Linked DNA regions of Macaca mulatta. The protein of the gene in region 5 purifies or fractionates together with the protein of the main gene of each other region. This does not show direct contact. Links are inferred from orthologs where the notes say so. Each region holds a gene or a part of one and is shown on either strand. Other genes may lie near its edges.

Region 1 (4,044 bases), on a different chromosome or scaffold from region 5:
GCGTCTTTCTTTGTACCTTAAATTTTATTTAATACACAACACCAATTGTAGCCATTTTGATTTTCTTTCTTCTCCAGTGGACCTTCAACTTAAGATTTTTCTTTGTGATCCTGTGCAAGCCTAGGTTGTTAAAGAAAAATACACGAGTATTTTCTCAGACACTTCCTCGTCGCAAAACACTTAATAAATGCTTGTGACTACAAATAGTCAGCATTTCTTAGGTTTCTTTCTGTTTACTGCATCTCAACAACTTCTGGAAGTATATTTTAGGAAAAAATGTCCAGTTCTCTAAAGAGGTGTCAATGGGTGGTTAAATTTCACAAGGGTTGAAAGACCTTGTGGTATAAAAGCTCTGCTTTTAAGGTCGTGCTACATCAAAGACAGTTCAACGATAGCATGGAAGAAAGTGACACATAAATAACAAGTAACTCATACTTAAAAAGGCACTACTACGTTTTGTTTTTTATTTCTGTAATGAGATAGGTAACTAGTCAGTGGCTAGTGAATTAAAAGCGAATCTTAGAGAAAGAGAAAAGAATGAGTTTCCCACAAAACGCGTATATTCAGTTCTCATTCTATGATATCTGCCATTTGATGTGGTTCTGTTCCCTTCCTCCCACTTTTAAATTATTTGTCGCGCGCCAGTGGTCCCAGCTACTCAGGAGGCTGAGACAGGAGGATCCCTTGAGTTCAGGATGTCAAGTCTGTAGTGAGCTATGATTCCGCCACTGCATTCCACCCTTGGCAACAGAGCGAGACCCTGTCTCGAAAAAACAAAACAAAAAACCTGTGTGTTTTCAAGAAGCAGAGACCAAGCCCCAGGCGGAGTCGAACTCTAGGAGGACAAGAACGCAGTCGGTCCTTTTCCTCCACCTGATCCAGAGGTGCAAGGGTGGTTGCCTAGGTGACGCTCAGCGCACACTCCCGGCCCGGCGGCTCCGGACAGAGCCGGGAGGCGGGAAAGCAGAGCGGCCACATAGATGACCCTGTGCTTGGTAACTCTTGCCCTCCCTTGTTCATCTCGAAGGTCCTTTTTCTCTCGTGCACGGCTGCCGAGACAGGCTCAAGCTAACTTCCCCTGCGCGCCTCCTTCGGCACCCAGAAGGCCGGGGCTGCGAAGCCCACAAGGCCTCGGGATCACCACAGGGCCTCCGCAGCTACCGGCCGGGCGACGGCGCGCCTGCGCACAGGCGGGGTCACGCGCGCGGCGCGGGGGTGGGCCGGCGCCGGAGGGGCTGTCATTCGTAGCGCTGGTCGCCGCCCTTAGCTGCGGCCGGGTGGTTCCGGCTCCTCCCTCCCAAGCTGCCTCAGCCCCACCATGGTGCTGGAGTCGGTGGTCGCGGACTTGCTGAACCGCTTCCTGGGGGACTATGTGGAGAACCTGAACAAGTCCCAGCTGAAGCTGGGCATCTGGGGCGGTAAGCGAGAGGGGCGCGGCCGGCGGGCTGCGGGCGCTGAGGGCCCAGCCGAGGGCTGCTCCGTCCGGGATCCTGCCCGGGCCCTGCTCCCTCCGCCGCCCGAGACTCCCCCTTCCCGGTGCGGCAGGTGCTCTACGTGGGAGCCTCTGCCGCCCGCGGATTCTCGGGGTCCCAGTCCCGACCCCGGCTGGGGAGATGCGGTGGGATCCCGCCGGCGCTGCCAAAGTTCCCACCTTTCTAGTCCTCCGAGGCCAAGCCCTGGCCCTGCTGTGCCTGCCCTGCGCCTGCTGTCCCCGCCCTGCCCGTCTCTGTGGTCCTCTCGCTGCACTCAGCGTGGCCCGTTTGGCCCTACAGCATAAAGACAGCCCTTTCTGTTTCGGTAGCGCGTGGAGTGAGCATGGTTGTCTGGTCATATACGCTCGAAGTGGTACTAAGGAAAAAGAAGAAGGAAATTGCATTTCGCAGTTATCTTCACTATCATTTTACAGGGAGCAGGAACCGGGTGCCTTCTCTTTAGGATTACCGGGTTTGGAGAGGAATAGGCAGATCTTTAAGAAAGGCGTGTGCTTAGGGATTCTTACTCACAATGCTTTCAGCTCCTGTGAAAATTATTCCTTCCTTTAATATTTACTTTTCCGTCAATACGAAGAGGATTTTGAATTTTGTTTTGGAGCAATAGAGAGAAATTCAAGCCTCGACCAGCATCGTCATTAATTAGGTGCCTGCTTGGTTGTATGCCCAGGAATTTATGCCAAAGTTTTTATCCTGGAGATTAAGTGTATATAAGTATTCAATAAATAGTGTACTTAAACATGCACTCTTCAACAAGCTTAATCGTTTGCATGAATTATGTGTTAAGCTTTGAGGACTTTGGGACTTTCTCACTCCACAAAAGATGTGGGAAGTTTGTCAGCTTTGGAGGAAGATTCAAAAAACGACTCAAACGTATGGATCTGCTTTTAATTCAAGCAGCAACAAAGAGCTATAGACTTCCCCTGTCCACTAGGGTAACCACTAGCCACTGTAGCTGTTGAGCACGTGATATGAGGTTAGTGCTAATTGAAACGTGCTGTTAGCATGAATTAAAACATCGTTTTGAATAAGTATTACTCCTAAAGAAGTAGGAGAAAAAATATAATACCTCTAATTTTTATGTTGCTTATGTGTTGAAATAATATTTGAATATATTGAGTTAAATTAAATATAATATTAAAATGTATTTCCTGTGTTTTTTAGTTTTACTTTTTTTCTTTTTAAACCTGGCTTCTAAAATTTATAATTACATATATGGAACATATAGTGGGCATTGCTGTTTATAGAACCGTGAGTGATACCCTGAATTGCGGAAGAGCCTGGTTTTTTTTTTTTTTGGTTGTCTTTTTGAGACAGGGTCTTGCTCTGTTGCCAAGGCTGGAGTGCAGTGGCAAGATCATAGCTCACTGCAGCCTGCAACTCCTGGGCTCAAGTGATTCTCCTGCCTCAGCCTCCCGAAGTGCTAGGATTACAAGTGTGACCTGTAGTGCCTGGCCAAGAGCCTGTTTTTAATAGGTGGCTGATCATTTGATTGGTTCACTGTGGTTTGCCCAACAATACAATAGTCCCTTGGTATCTATGGGGGATTGGTTTCAGTACCCCTGACCATACCAAAATCGGAGGTTGCTCAAGTCTCTTAAATAAAATGGCCTAGTATTTGTATGTACCCTATGCACATCCTTCTGTATACTTTAGGTCATCTCTGGATTACTTATAATACCCAATACAAGTAAATGCTATGTACATAGTTGTTCTGTTGTTTTTTAATTTGCATTATTTTTATTGCCAAATTGATATTTTTAATTTTTTTCCCAAATATTTTTGATCTGCAGTTGGTCTGTAGTTGGTTCAATCCGTGAATATAGAGGGCCTACTGTACATACTTTGTTTACATCCCCCCACCACACTCAATGCAATGTAAAAGAAAGGGAAGTAAAGAAAGAGATTTAAGGAATTAAATGACCAGCACCTTCTGCAGAAATGAAGTGTTTCTTCAGAATACTGGCAATATCATTTCCAGTAATTCCTTATAGTTTGTAAACATTTGAAATTCGAAAATGCACTGGAGTAGCAAATCTGAAATCTGAATAGGCCTAGTGAATGGTGTGCTGTGTTGGACAAGCCACTTACCTTATTGGGCCTTAGTTTCTTCATCTTAATTTAAACTTTTATAGAAAAAATATTTTAAATTCTGAAAAGTTTAAATATAATAATATTTTAAATATATTTTAAATAATATTTTAAATAAAAGTTTAAATAATATATTTTCATGTAATTACTCATATTTTAATATTATATTATGGCATATTTACTTTAGACATTTTCTTTTTCAGAAGATAAAATGTATGGATATAGTCAAAGGTTCCTTTGCCATCAAATGTTATTCTCCTTTATCTTTAAAATTGGAGGTTGGAGTAGGTAACATCTCTAAGGTGATGCCAATATCCTGTTCTTCTAATAATGGTTTTACAATGACATTGAGGAGTATACTGCATGAAGATTTTGAAGTTTTTCACAACTGAAATTAAAAATGTTGTAATTTTATATTATTTCCTCTTTTGTCTTTTTTTTTGGTGAAATCTAGAAAAGGAGA
Region 2 (3,950 bases), on a different chromosome or scaffold from region 5:
TCATGAGGAAGGGGTCTTTGGAAACTGTCGACGGAAATTGCTGTTGACGAACTTGTGGAATGCACGTGAGCTGCAGGTCACTGGGCGTGTGACTGCCCAGCCGGAACTCTGACGCATGTAAGTCTGAGGGTGTGTACAAGGGTGAAGGGAGTCTTTAACAAAAGGCCTGCTACGCCGGGTAACGCTGCCATGTTGGGTCTAGATTCCTGCCTAACAACGGGGTTTCGCCAGGTTGGCCAGGGTGGCCTCGAAATCCTGACTTCCGTTGCCCAGAGTGCTCATGGCTCATTGCAGCCTCCACACCCTGGGCTCAAGTGATCCTCCCATCTCAGCCCCCAGGGCATGTGGGACTACAGTCACATGCCACCACCGCAGGCCTCCTGTATTCTTATATGTATACAGTAACTCACAATTAAAGCGTAAAGAAATATAAGATCTAGTCAAGGGTATTGGGAGAACTGGCCTAGAACTTTCTTCTATCACTAAAGAAAATTTTAACTCTTAAGAAATATTCACAATACAATCGTCATCGTAGTCCATAAAATCGGTCTTTTTAGTTGCCAAAATTAGAAGTTGCATACAATTACAAGAGTAAAATAGAATTATAAAACGGTACGTTAGGTTTAAGGTTTATGGCCGGGTGCGGCGGCTCACGCACTTTGGGAGGCCGAGGCAGGCGGATCGCTGGAGACCAGGAGAGCGGGACCCAGTCTCTACAAAATAAAAATAAAATGTGGGGAGAGGGTGACGTTTTCCAGGTACAGAGGGGAGGTCCGGGCAGAAGCGCAGGGAGAAAGTGTGAATATGCTGAGCGTATTCCGGGAGCAGCAAGTAAGCCGGTGTGACCGGAGGGAAATGGAGGCCTGGATGCCGGACGGTGAGGGTGACTGCGCCAGCGTCCGCCCAAGAAGTCTCCCCGCTTTCCCGCCTTTCCTCAGCCTTCGGACCCTTTTTGCTTTCCTTTTGCGCTGTGCTGACTCCGCCCCTCCGCCGGCGCCCGTGGCCTCGCTCCTGAGGGAAACAGGCCGGGGGTGGGGCCGGCGTGGTCATCTCCGTGCGCCTTCCCTCAGGGCGCCGAGCCGCTGGCGCCGTCTGTCTGACGTCACGGTCACTGACAGCGTGAGCCCGCGGCGGCTGCTGCCATGGTGGCTGGCGGCCGGGTAAGGTTTTGAGTGGGTCTCCTGCCAGGCCAGAGCGCGTTCCTGGGCCGCAGGGGAAGGCCGGGAGTTTGCAGCCAGGGCGGCGGGTTTGTGGTCTGCAGTGTTGTGAGGCTGAGGTGGAGGGTTGAAGGCCCAGAAGCCGTACTCTGTGACCCGGATCGGAGGATGTGCTGGAGGGGTGGCTATGTCCAGGCTGGGTGAGGGGAGCGGCAGTGGGGCCCAGGGGGCTGGAGGAAGCCTTAGGGTTCAGACTGGGATGCAGGTAGTCAGGAGCTCAGGGTTTGGGCAAGGGGGTACCTGCCGGGGTTCTGCCTTGGGGGTGGGTTTACCAGACTCACGAATCTCTCTCTCTCCCTACGCCCGCCCGGCCGCCCGCCTGCTCCCGGTGGCTTCTGCTGGCCGCAGGTGCAGCATGTCTAGACTGGGAGCCCTGGGTGGTGCCCGTGCCGGGCTGGGACTGTTGCTGGGTACCGCCGCCGGCCTTGGATTCCTGTGCCTCCTTTACAGCCAGCGATGGAAACGGACCCAGCGCCATGGCCGCAGCCAGAGCCTGCCCAACTCCCTGGACTATACGCAGACTTCAGAGACCGGACGCCAGGGTAGGAGCCCGTCTCCTGAGACCGCGGTCACTGCAGACTGATGGGCCTGGGGTCTAGGCTGCTTTTGGTGGAGATTGTGGGACAGGGCAACGTAGAGAAGCGCCTTAGGGTTTCACTTTTTTGGAAGCTTGTTGAAAAAGCAGTCGTCGGGCCGGGCGCGGTGGCTCACGCCTGTAATCCCAGCACTTTGGGAGGCCTAAGCGGGCGGATCACCTGAGGTCAGGAGTTCAACACTGGCCTGACCAACATTCAACCAGATGTCAACATGGTGAAACCTTATCTCTACCAAAAATACAAAAATTAGCCGGGCGTGATGGCGCGGCCTGTAGTCCCAGCTACTGGGGAGGCCGAGGCACGAGAATCGCTTGAACCCAATAGGCAGAGGTTGCAGTGAGCTGAGGTTTCACCACTGCACTCCAGCCTGGGCGACAGAGTGGGACTCCGTCTCAAAAAAAAAAAAAAAAAAGGCAGTCATGGTTTTTTCTACTCTTTACCCTGTATTCCCAAGCAAGTATATTTCAAAAAGACTGCTTAGCTGCTTAGCTTTCACTTTTAGTTCTGGCCACACTAGTGCTATGTGGGTGTTAAAGGCACTTGCTTAGTGTTGGGTGAGGTGTGTAATAAGTAGAGAGAATCCAAAAGAGGGCAAAAAGAATAATCTTGTAGGGATTAAAAGTCTTCAGGCTTATGTATTAAATCATATATTTGAATTTGGAGACAACTTGGAAACTATCTCATTCAAGTTTTTTTGTTTGTTTGTTTTGTTTTTTAATCCCTCCTATGAGGAAACCAAGATTCAAAAAGACTGTGTAACTTTCCTGAGGCTGTCACAGATTAAGTGGCAAGGTTGGGCCTGTTGGGCCTGGTCACCTGGTCCAGTGGAGTTTCTAGGGCATAGGGCTAGGAGCACGCTTAATGCAATTGAAGCTGAATGTGGCTGGCAGCCCGCACAGCTGAAATGAGTAGTTCTTTCAAATTTGCAGATTTGTTAATTCATTTGAGCAAAGGATCTAGGGCTGGTTCAAACTACTACCATATTTGTGCAAGAGGAGTGTTTTTTTCTTTTCTTTTCTTTTTTTTTTTTTTTTTTTTTTTTTGAGATGGAGTCTCACTCTGTTGCCCAGGCTGGAGTACAGTGGCATGATCTTGGCTTACTGCAACTTCCACCTCCCTGGGTTCAAGTGATTCTTATGCCTCAGCCTCCCAAGTAGCTGGGATCACAGGTGTGCGCCACCATGCCCAGCTAATTTTTGTATTTTTAGTAAAGATGGGGTTTCCCCATGTTGGCCAGGCTGGTCTCGAACTCCTGGCCTCGGCCTCCTAAAGTGCTGGGATTACAGGCGTGAGCCACCACACCTGGCCAAGAGGAGCGTTTACATTATCTCACTCCCACGCTAATTGGAAGTGAGTGTTTTCTCTGATTGCCAGTGTTAGATGGTTTGGAAAAGTTAGTTCTGGAGGAGTCTTCAAAGAGCTATCACCTTAGATTGCAACTGATTGTCAGCACTTTATAATCTGGTGGTAATCTAGTATTGCAGTGTGCTTCCTTCCCTTGTATTTTGTTTGTTAATTGCTTCGCAGTAGTCTTTCTTCTGAGATTAGAAGTGGCCACATTCCCAGAGATCTTTATTGCTCTACATTCTTGAGCATTATTGGATGTGTGTTGTGGCCTGGCCTAGTTTTTTTTTTTTTTTTTAACCAGATTTCCTTAAAGAAGGGATTTATGCTTGCCATATTGTGGGGTCCTGCCTCTCTGGTTTCCTTTTTGTTTTTGCATTTTTCAGTCCAGTTACCATAGGTGGCTGTCACTTTGCTACCATTTCACTGCTGGAATTTACTCAAAAGAGTGAGGCCTAGGGTTGGGTCAGCAGGGCTTAGTAATGGTGTGTTTCTGAGGCGGTTTGGATGGGCTTTTTCTGGTGTACCTCTTCTCTTAGCAACTGCCCCCTTTCTCCTAGTCCTTCTCTGATACACTAAATGAAGTTCTGGGAGAAACTCCCAAGTTTTCCCTACTATCGTTTGTGAAGTGAGAGATCAGAATGTGATGGAGCTCAGTTTTAGTTTTAGTTTTAGTTTTGCTGTGTGGTTGGTTTTGACTCCCTGGTATTGGGCACTATACGGTGAGGTAAAGGTTTTTTTTTACTCTAGCAGGACAGCTGTCCTCCTTCAGATTCCACACTTGGGCAAGCAT
Region 3 (4,099 bases), on a different chromosome or scaffold from region 5:
CCATGGCCAAGCCTGAGGTCCACGTGGAGGAAGGATACTCCTTCCATAGGAAGCGCCAGCAAATATTTTGAACAAATGAACATTCTTGCCTAGTTTATCACAGCCAGTATCATTTGTCCCATTTTGCAAGTGAGAAGACTAAGGCTAAAAAAGGTAATTTAATCAAAGTCATAGGTTAGAATTCAGCTTGAATGGCTTCAAAGTTGGTCCAGGCAATCTCTTTTTCAGATTTTTTTTTTTTCTTTAAACACTATGTAGGCGCCTGGAATTGTAATTTACTCAGGGACACAACCACTTGCCTTCGGCTCCAGAAACAACTCCGTGAAAATCTCTAGAGCTAAACCACCCATGAAATCTTCCTGGAAGGATGTGAAGCTACAAAGGGGTCAGGCTGGGGGAACTGTTCCTTTAAGAGCTGAGTCTTCCATTTAGTAATTTTTTAAAACTGTTGAAGTATTTATCTGCTTGATGGGTTTGTAGATCCTTTGGACGGAGATCACCTATCATCATCACCTTTTGTTTTGTGTGTGTGTGTGTGTGTGTGTGTGTGTGTGAGAGAGAGAGAGAGAGAGACAGTCCGAGTTCCTCAAAGATTTTTTCTAGGTAATTTTTGATACTTCAGATTGTAATGGGTATCTATATTCACAAAAATTATTAGTGCGGTAGAAAGATATCTTCAGGTAGGAAGAGGGGCGCAGAAGTTACAGCCAACACAGAGAATCCTTCAATGTTTGTAAATATCTGTTAATTTCCCTTGCCTCCGGAGCAGTTTTCCCGGTTTCAGAGCCTCTGTTACCAGGTGCACGTGCAGTGTGATAACAATGGATAAGTTTTGACTTGCCAGGTTTATGCGTGTCATTCAGGGCAGGGGATCAGGGTTAGGCCAGTGAGTGACCTAGGACACTCAATTTAAGGAGGCACTCGCACAAACCTGAGAGTTCGCGCGCCTCACCCCAGCCCAGTCCTGTGTCTGTTAAGCATTTATCATAATCCTGCTTTATGAAAATGCGCGGCGAGCTTACCTGTGAGGATCACCTGCCACTCCCCTCCTCCGCCAGACAACGCGGAGGGCCTCCCTGCCCTGTGATTTTGCTCCGCCGGTGACAATTTCCAGGTTACTGTGTAGGAGCGTCTGGCGCAGGATCGTGTGCGGAAGACCGAGGGAGGGAGTGCGCGTGTGAGCCTGTCAGGCCGGGCGGGTCCATATCCGGGTGGACCGGGTGGGTGGGGCTGCCCCTCCCTCCACGTCCCGAGGTGGATAGGGGGTGGGGAGTGACGCGCAGAGATTCCCTTTCGCCCCTTCGGATCCAAGAGAGGGTGGTAGAAGGAATGCGTGGGTGACTCGGCGTGGATTTAGGGCGTGCCCACCTTGCAGATCGGCCTCCTAGAGTGTCCCCAGGGCCTAAGAGGCCGCAGGGACACGAAGGAAGAGAAGGAAGAACCCGAAGAGGGCTCGCTTAGCCGGCCACCCGCTCCGAACTTGCCCGGGAAACTAGTGCGGAGGGAGGGGCCGGGCCCTGGCCGCGGCGGGAGGAGGGGCGGCCGCAGCTGCATCCAGCCCCGTTGGCTTCCTTCCCAGCTCTCCTTCGCCGCCTCCTCCTCTTCCTCCTGTATGAGTCAGGCATTTCCCGGGGATTTGGAGCAGCCACGCGCGGCCCGGGCGCCCGGAGCTGTAGCAGCAGCAGCAGCAGCCGTGCCGGGGCCGCCACAGCGGCGGGCACCCGCGTCCCGGGCGCGCACGGACCATGGAGAGGGCAACCCAGGGCACAGACGGCGGCGGGGGTAGCAACAGCAGCAGCCGCAGCAGCAGCCGTGCTACCTCGGCGGGCTCCTCGCCCTCCTGCTCTCTGGCGGGCCGGGGGGTCTCCAGCCGGTCTGCGGCGGCCGGGCTCGGCGGCGGGGGCAGCCGCAGCAGCCCGGGCTCTGTGGCCGCTAGCCCGTCCGGGGGAGGCGGCCGCAGGAGGGAGCCGGCGCTCGAGGGCGTGCTCAGCAAATACACCAACCTCCTCCAGGGCTGGCAGAACAGGTAACCTGCCAGCCGCCCGCGCCACCGCGCGCCGCTGTGTGTGTGTGTGTGTGTGTGCGCGTGTGTGTGTGTGCATGTGTGTGTGTATGTGTGTACGCGCGCGCGCGATTGTGCCTCCAGCGAACCGGGTGATGCCTCCCAACGGTGCCCTTCCTGTGTCCCTGCTCCCCTCCAGGTGGGGTTCTCAGGATGGGGCGCGCCGTGTCTCCACCCCGGGACCGCACCGCAGTGGCAGGGAGGGAGGCGAGAGCCCAGGTTTTCTTCTGTGCTGGCACCTGCAGAGACTGGAGTGGCAGGAGGAGCGTGCTGGTCCCCGTGCTCTGCTTGTCCGTTGTTTCCCGCACCCCTGAGGAATGACTGGGAAAGGGAGGCAGAAGGGGCGTGCTTTGTGCCTGGGTGAAAAAGCGTTAGCAGGTCTGCTGTGATTACAGTAATTCTCTAAATACCATAGTTCATTTTAAAGTTTGGTGTTTCAGAACACCACCACCATCAACAAACATCCTGCCACTTTGACAAGTGTACATACTCCTGCCCCAGTTTGTACCTTGCAACCTCCGATGTCTGTAACGGAAATTTTGTTTGAAAACAGAGGCCAGGCGCGGTGGTTCACGCCTGTAATCTCAGTACTTTGGGAGGCCAAGGCGGGCGGATCACGAAATCAGGAGTTCGAGACCAGCCTGGCCAACATGGTGAAACCCCGTCTCTACTAAAAATACAAAAAATTAGCCGGGCGTGGCGGCGCACGCCTGTAATTCCAGCTACTCAGGAGTCTGAGGCAGGAGAATCGCTTGAACCCGGCATGTGGAGGTTGCAGTGAGCCGAGATGGCGCCGTTGCAATCTAGCGGGGCCGACAGTGCGAGACTCCGACTCAAAAAAAATAAATAAATAAAATAAAAAGAAAGAAAAAATACCCTCGCCCATTTTAATATTAATAGCAATTTACATTATTATCATTATTTCCTCTTCAGGTCCCTTTTGAAGTTTCGTGCTCACTTCCACCGCACAGTTGAGAAGCCTAGTTGTGGACACGTGGAAGGATGGGGCTGTCGAGGAAAGGGGCTCAGGAGGCACTTGGAATGGTGGTAGTGTGTGTGATCTGCCATCGTGAGGAAGACAAGAACAGATGTGGCACTGCTGTTTACTTTTTGTTTTTTTTTTTCAATTTGTTTTTCAAAAGCAAGCCAGAGGGAAATACAAGTGTCAGTGCGAGGAGAGCAATGCTTTTTGGAGAGGTGGTTGGCGGGGTATTTTGTCCTGCCTATTTAATAGTCTCCAGATCTTAATAGACTTGGGGCTCTTAAGGATGTTTGTGAGATTTGAATCATATCCTGGAACGTTGCTTATCTCTGTTGCATGGACGATATTACTTGGTTATCTCTTCCTGTAGATTGTTTGGAAATGTTCAGATTTGCTTCCATCTGAAACGTATCAGCCAGTTATTTGCACGAAACTCAACTTGGAGGAAGAGGACTTTTGAAGTATGGAAACCGAGTCGTTTCTATATTGATACTGTACATATAGGACTTTCTGAGTCACCTGGGCTTCCTGGGAGGTGTGTTACTATGTTAGTGGAAGTTGCACTTAACTTTTGAATCCTTTTATTTCTCAAAATAGTCCTAGTGTCAATTTGTGAAAGCTGGAAAAGAATAGGTAGAATGCGTAGGTACAGGGAGATGTGAGATGACTAAATCTGATTTCAGTTCTTGGTAATTATGTCTTGTTAATGGCAACTCACGGTGCCTTGTCAGTAACAGCATTTTGTTGGTGTGTTGAGCAATCACTTTTATTGCTTTTTCTTCAAGTAGCTTATGAGGCCAACAGAACTTTTACCCTGGATTACAGTTATTTTATTATTTACTTGCTGGGGAACAATATTTTACCTGCAATGTGTATTAAAGGATTTGTTCTTTGGAGTGGATTTAGGAGGCATTGGAGTAACATTCTTTTGCATTATTTTAAACCCATTGTGGTGTTTAGGTTAGAGGCAAGGTTGAGAAGAAGCACATTTAATGCCATTAATAATACCTATGTGATCGCAGGCTACCTAGGTGAAATGTTGTATTATGTACACT
Region 4 (4,022 bases), on a different chromosome or scaffold from region 5:
AAACATCCTTTGACAATAGCTTGTGCTAAAACTGTAAAAATGTCATACACATGACTTATCTTAGAACACCCATAAATGAAAGCTAAAGGCAAAATGGATTAGAAAGGCAGTATGTGGAGTTAAGACATCGCTCAGTTTTTACATGAAGTTCCAGGAAAATGGTAGAAATACACAAGGCATAAAAAGTTAAGTGTATTAAGTCTTCAGGGAGTACTCAAGACTGGCAATGCATGCAGGTGCCCAAAGGCAAACTGTTTTTGTAGTACTGCAAAACAGCTCCCTGGGCAGATGTGAGCAGCCAATGTGTGCTGTCCACCTCTAGAGTGACCCAGATTCTACTTAATTAAGTAGATGAAAGTGAACTCACCCTAGGGCTCCTGCGAGGTGACTGGACAGCTGGGACCTGCGGGGTACAATACCAATTGATCTCATAGCTGGCCCCCAGTTTCGCCCGCCTACTCACCCACAACACCCTCCTTAGCCTTTACCTCTACAGCATGGGCCACGATCCTCTTTAAAACGATGGGCTTTCTGATTGCAGCCGCACTGGGTGTCTGGAGAAGAGGGATGAACGTGAGCTCAACATTAGGTGAGGGGCCACAAGGGGAGGAAGTGAGAAACCTGGGGCTCACCTTCGGCCAGATTTCAGGGAGGATGCTCGGGAGTTCAGAGCCTGATTTCCGCTGGGACCTCCGCAGAGGCTTAGTAGGAGATGGGGCCCTTGGCCCTGGAAAGAGAAAAAAGTTAAGTGGTAGAGGAGGACTCTAGACCTTAGAGTCCAGAGAACAGGTTCTAGAGACAGCGAGAAAATTCCCAAACAAGCCCTTCTAAGGGCGCCTCCTCTGGAGGCAGCAGCGGGAGGGAAGGGCAATCTTTCACAGGACTGCGTCCCCCAAACGGCTCGACCTCACGTCTCCCGCGCGCCCTCCGCTCACCGGAGCGCTGAGCGGCTCCTCCGGACCGCGTTCGCCTCCCAGACATAACTAAGCTCGGTCTCGAGCTCCTCCAGCGCCGCCGCCCCGGGCGCGCGCCAACGGGGAAGGCCACTCGCTGCAAAAAACTTTCGAATTACCCGCCCTGCGGAGAAGGAAGCGGAAGTGACGTAGGGACAGAGGTCCGCGGCGCCCGGGCCCCCTCTCTTTTCCACCGGTCTTCACGTCTAGCGTCAGCGGAGGCGTGGCCCAGGGGTGCGATGGCGTCATCAGGGCGCGCCGCACCCGGAAGAGACGTGGCAGCGGAGGGATAATCGGGGCGGCCGGGGCTGAAGGGAGCGGAGCAAGATCCTTGGAGAGCGTGGTCCCTGCCCTTCCTCGCCTCGAAGCATCGCTGCCGCCCTTCGGAACTGGTGCAGCGGCCGATCAGTAAACACAGAGACTGGGGTCTGTAGAGAAGGGGCGGGGCTTGGAGGGGGTGGGGCTCAGGGGAGGCCTTGGGGGCGGGGCCGGTGGTATCGGGGAGTCGCTGATGGAGGGGCCTGGCCGGGGGCGGGATCCAGAAGGATTGAGGGGTCGCCGGAGGTGGGATTTATGCAGGGAGTGTTTCCCCGCATAAGGAGGAACAGTGGGCAGAAATCTTGGGTCGGGGCGAATAAGAGAGTGTCTGGGGGAGTTAAGAGTGGAAACTGGGCTGGTGAGAGCGTAGTGGTGGCCACCAGAACCTGGCTTCCTACCAACTCAGGTCCCTTTCCCAGGATCGATCATGGGGCTTTGTAAGTGCCCCAAGAGAAAGGTGACCAACCTGTTCTGCTTCGAACACCGGGTCAACGTCTGCGAGCACTGCCTGGTAGCCAATCACGCCAAGGTGGGGCCTTCAGGGGAGCGACTGAGCAGGGCACTGGGTGGGCAAGGCGGTATTGGCTTCCTCCAAATCAATGAGGGTCCCCGCGCTAGAATGTAAGCCCCACAAGGGCAAGGACTTGGTTTATTTTGTTCACTGATATATCCCCCGCCCCCAAGAGAGAGTCTGGCGCACAGTATGTGCTCAATAAATATTGATTGAACAAACAAAAGGATGAGTCTCCTCTGTGACTAGAGAAAAAGAGACTGTCAGACCTTGGGGTGATAGGCCGAGCAGCCCCAGCACCAGTTGTGACATCTCTCTCCCACTCCAGTGCATCGTCCAGTCCTACCTGCAATGGCTCCAAGATAGCGACTACAACCCCAATTGCCGCCTGTGCAACATACCCCTGGCCAGCCGAGAGACGACCCGCCTTGTCTGCTATGGTGAGGCCTTGGCACCTCGGGGGGATCAGGCCAGCCTCAGGGACCAGCTTGGTGACTGGTTTCCAGGCCCTCCTCAAGCAGCAGGACAGTGAGTCCCCCAAGTCTCAGAACCCAGATTCTAGTCATATTAAAGTTCCTTACCTGCTCTGTAAGTTCAGGCAAGTTATTCTTCCTTTCTAGGCCTCACTGTCTTTCCTAAAAATTAAAGCTCCTAGTTCCTCTTTCCTAAAAATTCAGACCTGCCAATCTGGAGGTTTGAGCGAGAGCCAGTCAAGCTTATGTGTATGCTGGTGGCCGTGACTATCAGCTAGCCAGACCGGCATGTCGCTTTCAGATATTCAGGATCCACCACTGATTCCAAGTCTAAACAGAGAGGAAGTGAGTTTCCCACATTAAAGTTAGCTAAAAGAAGTCAGCAGACATATGTGTCATGACTTTGACCTGAATCTGGAGTAAGAGCCTTAGCTCCAGTTTTTGAAGGAGCTCATGCAAGAGGCAGCTCCATATGTGTTTTTCCTTATGAGTGCGTGTGTGTACTTGCAGGCACTTAATGTACACTGTGTGTTTAAATGAGTGTTAGTGTGTTGATTAGTACTTGGGGGTGAATGAATGGGTAATGTATGTACGTAAACATATGAACACAGGTGTGTTGTGGGAGTACAAGAGAATGCATGGTTGAATGTGCCTGAGTGTTAGCAAACCTGTGAGTGTATAGATGTGTATGTGTGAGGGCTCCTGTGCCCATAGTGTAGATATAGTGAATGCTACTTGTGTTTGATTATGTGCTTATAAAGCATATGTACATGTGTGCCCAGGGATGTGTACATGCATATGTGTGCCTGTGTGTATATCAAGGAACCTTTTCTGAAACTGTTCATTATTAGCCATTAGCCCAAAGAGTATGATGAGTGCAGGCCCAGAGAGGACTCACTGAAAGGAGAGGTGGCGTTTCTTCCCACCCAAACTTACCCCTGTGAGCTGGACAGCTTGGTAGCACTGCCTGGACTTAGATGGTGATAGCCAAGAAGACTGATGTTTTAGGGAACAGGACGGGGAGGAGAAGGCTCTGGCACACACGTGTGTCCATATGTCCTGCAATGGTTTGGGGGCTATTGCTAGGCTAGGAGCCCTAAGTGTCTTCTTCCTCATGTCTCTTCTCCCCTGTCTCATGGGCCCTAAGATCTCTTTCACTGGGCCTGCCTCAATGAACGTGCTGCCCAGCTACCCCGAAACACGGCACCTGCCGGCTACCAGTGCCCCAGCTGCAATGGCCCCATCTTCCCCCCAACCAACCTGGCTGGCCCTGTGGCCTCCGCACTGAGAGAGAAGCTGGCCACGGTCAACTGGGCCCGGGCAGGACTGGGCCTCCCTCTGGTGAGAGTCCCTCTGTCTGTCTGACCATCCATCTGCCCTGGGCCCCACCTGAGCCAGATGGGTGGGGACAGTACTAGGCAGCCTGGTGACCCAGATTCCCTCCTCCAGATCGATGAGGTGGTGAGCCCAGAGCCCGAGCCCCTCAACACGTCTGACTTCTCTGACTGGTCTAGCTTTAATGGTAAGTGGTGGCTTCCACCGACTGTCTGGGCTTTAGCCTCCCTGCTCTGCTGACAGCTCCATTGGTCTACAGTCACATGCTCTACCCCTGAGCTCTACCCACTACTTCTGCTGATGGCTCTCTTTCCGCCCACAGCCAGCAGTACCCCTGGACCAGAGGAGGTAGACAGCGCCTCTGCTGCCCCAGCCTTCTACAGCCAGGCCCCCCGGCCCCCGGCTTCCCCAGGCCGGCCCGAGCAGCACACA
Region 5 (3,500 bases):
TAAATCGCTGGGTTCAACTGTCATTACTGTATCAGTAATGGTTTGGTTTCCAAACCAGTGAGAGCTACTCTTAATCAGCAGTATCAAATACCTGCGGTCTCAATCCTTTTCACACACCTCAAAGTGTGTGCTATCCAGAGCACAGCAGAAGCCCAGATAGAAGACAGATTTATGCTGACTGAATTACTGTAAAAAATGACATAAAACTCTAAGTGAGAAAATATCCAAATGTTTTTTTAAAAAGTCAATCCAGACAATACGCTGTTTTGTTTTCTTGATTTCAACAGTAAGAGCTGTGCAAGCTATTAGCTTCCCTCAGCCTAAGCCAAAAAAGAAAACCTCTAAATGGGAAGCATACACAGACCATCTAACACTCACTTTACAGAGAATATACGTGTTCACATTTTTTTGCTTTTGGCAAATACCTCAAAAATCACTTAAAAGAGGTATTTTAAAAATTCAAAAACTAATTTGGTCAACACCTAATTGCCAGAGACCTTTTCATTTCTGCTTATCCTGAAAGAGAAACACAGTAACTGAGCCCACGTATTTAATCTGCATGTTTACTTTTCAATAGAGCAAATTGCCACCAGATTAAGGCAGTAGTCATGTCAGACTGTAACCAAATCGTGCCAAACAATTCTATTTATCCATATTATTGTATGTATTAAGTCACATACACACACAGAAAAACTTATCTTTCAAGTCTCTCTTACCATAGGGAAAGATTCAAATTTGCAACCCAGACAGGGAAAAGGACAAGGTAAGTGACTATAATCCACTCTGTACATTCACCGACTACTATTTGTTTGTTTTTAAATAAACACATATATCCCTCAGTCCCCCAAATTGTATTTGACCTACACTAATGAGTAAGCAGCATAACAATTATTTACTAAAGAATGCAATCAGATGGATTTGACTAAAAACAAAAGTGAGCAAAATACCTGGGAATAGCTAAACCTGGAATAAACTGTCCATGTAAGTGAATTTTTTATCCCCAAACTGCTGGTACATAATGGCCAAAAAGCAATTTATATGTATTTTTAAATTATGTATACATGTCTCATTCTAAAAAAGAACCTGTAGTGGTTTACGCCACAAAAATCTGCTATACTTAAAGGATTCTTCTCCAGGATGTAGTCTAGACCTAAAAGTGAGTCTTTCTTTCTTCTTGGATAAACAAAATGTTATTTTTTAAAAAAAAAAAAGTATACCAAGTTTTTTAAAACTTAACCACTGAGTCTTATGACATGAAAGAGCCATAACACACATACCTCAAAGGTCAAAAATAGAAGCAAAATTAATCAAAGGAACTGAGCGCTCAACAGCTTCAATTTTTTTTTACATTTTCCTACTTACCAATTTGTCATTTTCATTAGGCATTTCAAATACACATCTCAATTTGGAATCCATTAATTCATCAGGTTTTGCCTCTTTCCACTAAAAAATAAACAAAACCAAAAATGAGACATAGGAGGTATGATCATGGTAAGTAAGTGTGACCTCATGGGACAGCTAAAAGATGAGTGTAGCTGCCTGGCTTGGCTGAAATACACTGGTGCCCTCTTCACTGATCACCCTGCCATTGTTACTGGCTAATGTCACAGAATATATAATCCTAGAGTTACTATCACCATCCATTAAAATCACGATGATATCACTAGCAACCACAGGACTTTCTTCTTAAGAGCAGCATTTCTTTCTTTTTTCTCTTTTTCCAGTTGGTCTCATTCTGTCTCCTAGGCTGGAGTGCAGTGGCCACTCCTGGGCTCAAGCAAGCCTCCTGGGTAGCTGGGACTACAGGCATCTGTTGGTTTTTTTACTTGTTGGGTTTTGTTTTTTTTTTTTTTTTAATCGTAGAGACAGGGTCTTGTCATGTCGCCTGGGCTGGTCTTGAACTCCTGGGCTTGAGATACTCCCATCTTAGCCTCCCAAAGGGCTGGGATTACAGGTGTGAGCCACTGCACTAGGCCAGTAGCAGCATTTCTAAATTGTTTCTAAAAAAAAAAAAAAATACTATTTAAAAATTCTTGGCCGGGCGCGGTGGCTCACGCCTGTAATCCCAGCACTTTGGGAGGCCAAGGCGGGCGGATCACAAGGTCAGGAGATCGAGACGATGGTGAAACCCCGTCTCTACTAAAAATAGAAAAAATTAGCCGGGCACAGTGGCGGGCGCCTGTAGTCCCAGCTACTCGGGAGGCTGAGGCAGGAGAATGGCGTGAACCCGGGAGGCGGAGCTTGCAGTGAGCCGAGATTGCGCCACTGCACTCCAGCCTGGGTGACAGAGCGAGACTTCGTCTCAAAAAAAGAAAAAAAAAAAAAAAATTCTTTCATTCTGTAAGTTAGGATTATCTACAATGAAGATATTGGCACTTTTTTAAAAATCTAAATTTAACTTTTAGTTTTTAGAAATTAAGTTTTTCTACTGACTGCTGAACAAAACCCACAGTTTAAACTCCACTCCCCAAAATAAATTCTTCTTCTGTACTTACCACAGCTTCCATATCTGAAGTGTTTGGTGGAGCAAAAATTGTCTGTACCATAAACTTGTGTTTACTCTTTTCATTCGGATCATAGTCAAAGGGCTGTAGCATTACTAAATAAGAAAAAAAGGATATATTATATTGTCTCCTGCATGTTTGAAAGACATACATTGAAACAGTTACAGATTAAATTATACCAAGTCCGGGATTTGCCTTAAACAGTATCTGGCCATAGTATCATTCCCATTACTTCACAAATATGCAAATTTAAAGAAAACCAAGAAGGGTTCAAGAAACCAAACACCAGAATGTTTAAGAATCCAGAATCAACTTAATGGATCCCAAGTATTTTCAAATTGTCTGCCTTTCTAATTTACTAAGTTTTCCACAACCAACAAAATAAACAATTGCAATTAAAAATTAAATATGAATCTATGATTTTGCCCTTTCTAAACTCAGCTTGTGAAAATTTTCAAAACTTTGCCAGTGTTAACTATAATGCCTATAAGTTCAGATAAAATCTACTAAGTTATTAAAACTCGTTATGAATTTAGGCTTCATTTTAGTGTTTTCTGATTTAAAATTATATAGCTGGCATATTTAAAGGAGAAATAGTAACTTAAAACCTCACTACCATCTATTTTTTGCTTTTTAAAACTGAGTCTTACTCTGTCGTGAGGCTGCAGTGCAGTGGCGCCATCTCTGCTCACTGTAGCCTCAACCTCCCTGGGCTCATTTTGTAGAGAAAGGGTTTTCGCCATTTTGCCCAGGCTGGTATCAAATTCCTGGGCTCAAGAGATCCGCCTTCCTCAGCCTCCCAAAGTGCTAGGAATAAATGCGTTAGCCGCAGTGCCCAGCCCATATATTAATATAATTAATTTTTCAAAAATGTATTTTAAATAAACATCTATTTCAGTTTATGAATTTATTTCAATCTTCTAAGAAAACAAAAGTACACAAGGAAACCATATAGCCTCTTGATTTCTAAAATATATTCTACAGTCTCAATAACAT

What was found. The genes of interacting proteins can lie anywhere in the genome.
Region 1: the proteins of VAPA (region 5) and VPS13C purify together in Homo sapiens (co-immunoprecipitation; 3 studies listed by BioGRID and IntAct, counting the BioPlex papers as one, with this or other methods). This does not show direct contact. The link is inferred for Macaca mulatta from reciprocal best matches to the Homo sapiens genes VAPA and VPS13C.
Region 2: the proteins of VAPA (region 5) and RMDN3 purify together in Homo sapiens (co-immunoprecipitation; 4 studies listed by BioGRID and IntAct, counting the BioPlex papers as one, with this or other methods). This does not show direct contact. The link is inferred for Macaca mulatta from reciprocal best matches to the Homo sapiens genes VAPA and RMDN3.
Region 3: the proteins of VAPA (region 5) and OSBPL10 purify together in Homo sapiens (co-immunoprecipitation; 4 studies listed by BioGRID and IntAct, counting the BioPlex papers as one, with this or other methods). This does not show direct contact. The link is inferred for Macaca mulatta from reciprocal best matches to the Homo sapiens genes VAPA and OSBPL10.
Region 4: the proteins of VAPA (region 5) and ZFPL1 purify together in Homo sapiens (co-immunoprecipitation; 3 studies listed by BioGRID and IntAct, counting the BioPlex papers as one, with this or other methods). This does not show direct contact. The link is inferred for Macaca mulatta from reciprocal best matches to the Homo sapiens genes VAPA and ZFPL1.

The regions. Positions count from the first base shown.
Region 1 is NC_133412.1:39,395,390-39,399,433, reverse strand, and holds the start of VPS13C (intermembrane lipid transfer protein VPS13C), read left to right. Parts: upstream 1-1,244; 5' UTR 1,245-1,318; coding exon 1,319-1,418; intron 1,419-4,044. UniProt on the Homo sapiens protein: Mediates the transfer of lipids between membranes at organelle contact sites. Necessary for proper mitochondrial function and maintenance of mitochondrial transmembrane potential.
Region 2 is NC_133412.1:18,096,514-18,100,463, reverse strand, and holds the start of RMDN3 (regulator of microtubule dynamics protein 3), read left to right. Parts: upstream 1-1,150; 5' UTR 1,151-1,160; exon of another isoform or gene 1,161-1,325; coding exon of another isoform or gene 1,326-1,357; intron 1,358-1,565; coding exon of another isoform or gene 1,566-1,572; coding exon 1,573-1,759; intron 1,760-3,950.
Region 3 is NC_133407.1:16,528,540-16,532,638, forward strand, and holds the start of OSBPL10 (oxysterol-binding protein-related protein 10), read left to right. Parts: upstream 1-1,299; 5' UTR 1,300-1,516; coding exon of another isoform or gene 1,517-1,745; coding exon 1,746-2,026; intron 2,027-4,099. Other genes in the region: uncharacterized protein LOC114676224, read right to left, coding at 1,023-1,299, 1,517-1,747. UniProt on the Homo sapiens protein: Probable lipid transporter involved in lipid countertransport between the endoplasmic reticulum and the plasma membrane.
Region 4 is NC_133419.1:9,300,638-9,304,659, reverse strand, and holds the start of ZFPL1 (zinc finger protein-like 1), read left to right. Parts: upstream 1-1,222; 5' UTR 1,223-1,379; intron 1,380-1,407; exon of another isoform or gene 1,408-1,517; intron 1,518-1,677; 5' UTR 1,678-1,698; coding exon 1,699-1,800; intron 1,801-2,110; coding exon 2,111-2,222; coding exon of another isoform or gene 2,223-2,310; intron 2,311-3,402; coding exon 3,403-3,596; intron 3,597-3,704; coding exon 3,705-3,777; intron 3,778-3,912; coding exon 3,913-4,022. Other genes in the region: CDCA5 (sororin), read right to left, coding at 368-403, 489-554, 633-727, 936-981. UniProt on the Homo sapiens protein: Required for cis-Golgi integrity and efficient ER to Golgi transport. Involved in the maintenance of the integrity of the cis-Golgi, possibly via its interaction with GOLGA2/GM130.
Region 5 is NC_133423.1:80,896,823-80,900,322, reverse strand, and holds part of VAPA (vesicle-associated membrane protein-associated protein A), read right to left. Parts: intron 2,600-3,500; coding exon 2,496-2,599; intron 1,444-2,495; coding exon 1,363-1,443; intron 1-1,362. UniProt on the Homo sapiens protein: Endoplasmic reticulum (ER)-anchored protein that mediates the formation of contact sites between the ER and endosomes via interaction with FFAT motif-containing proteins such as STARD3 or WDR44.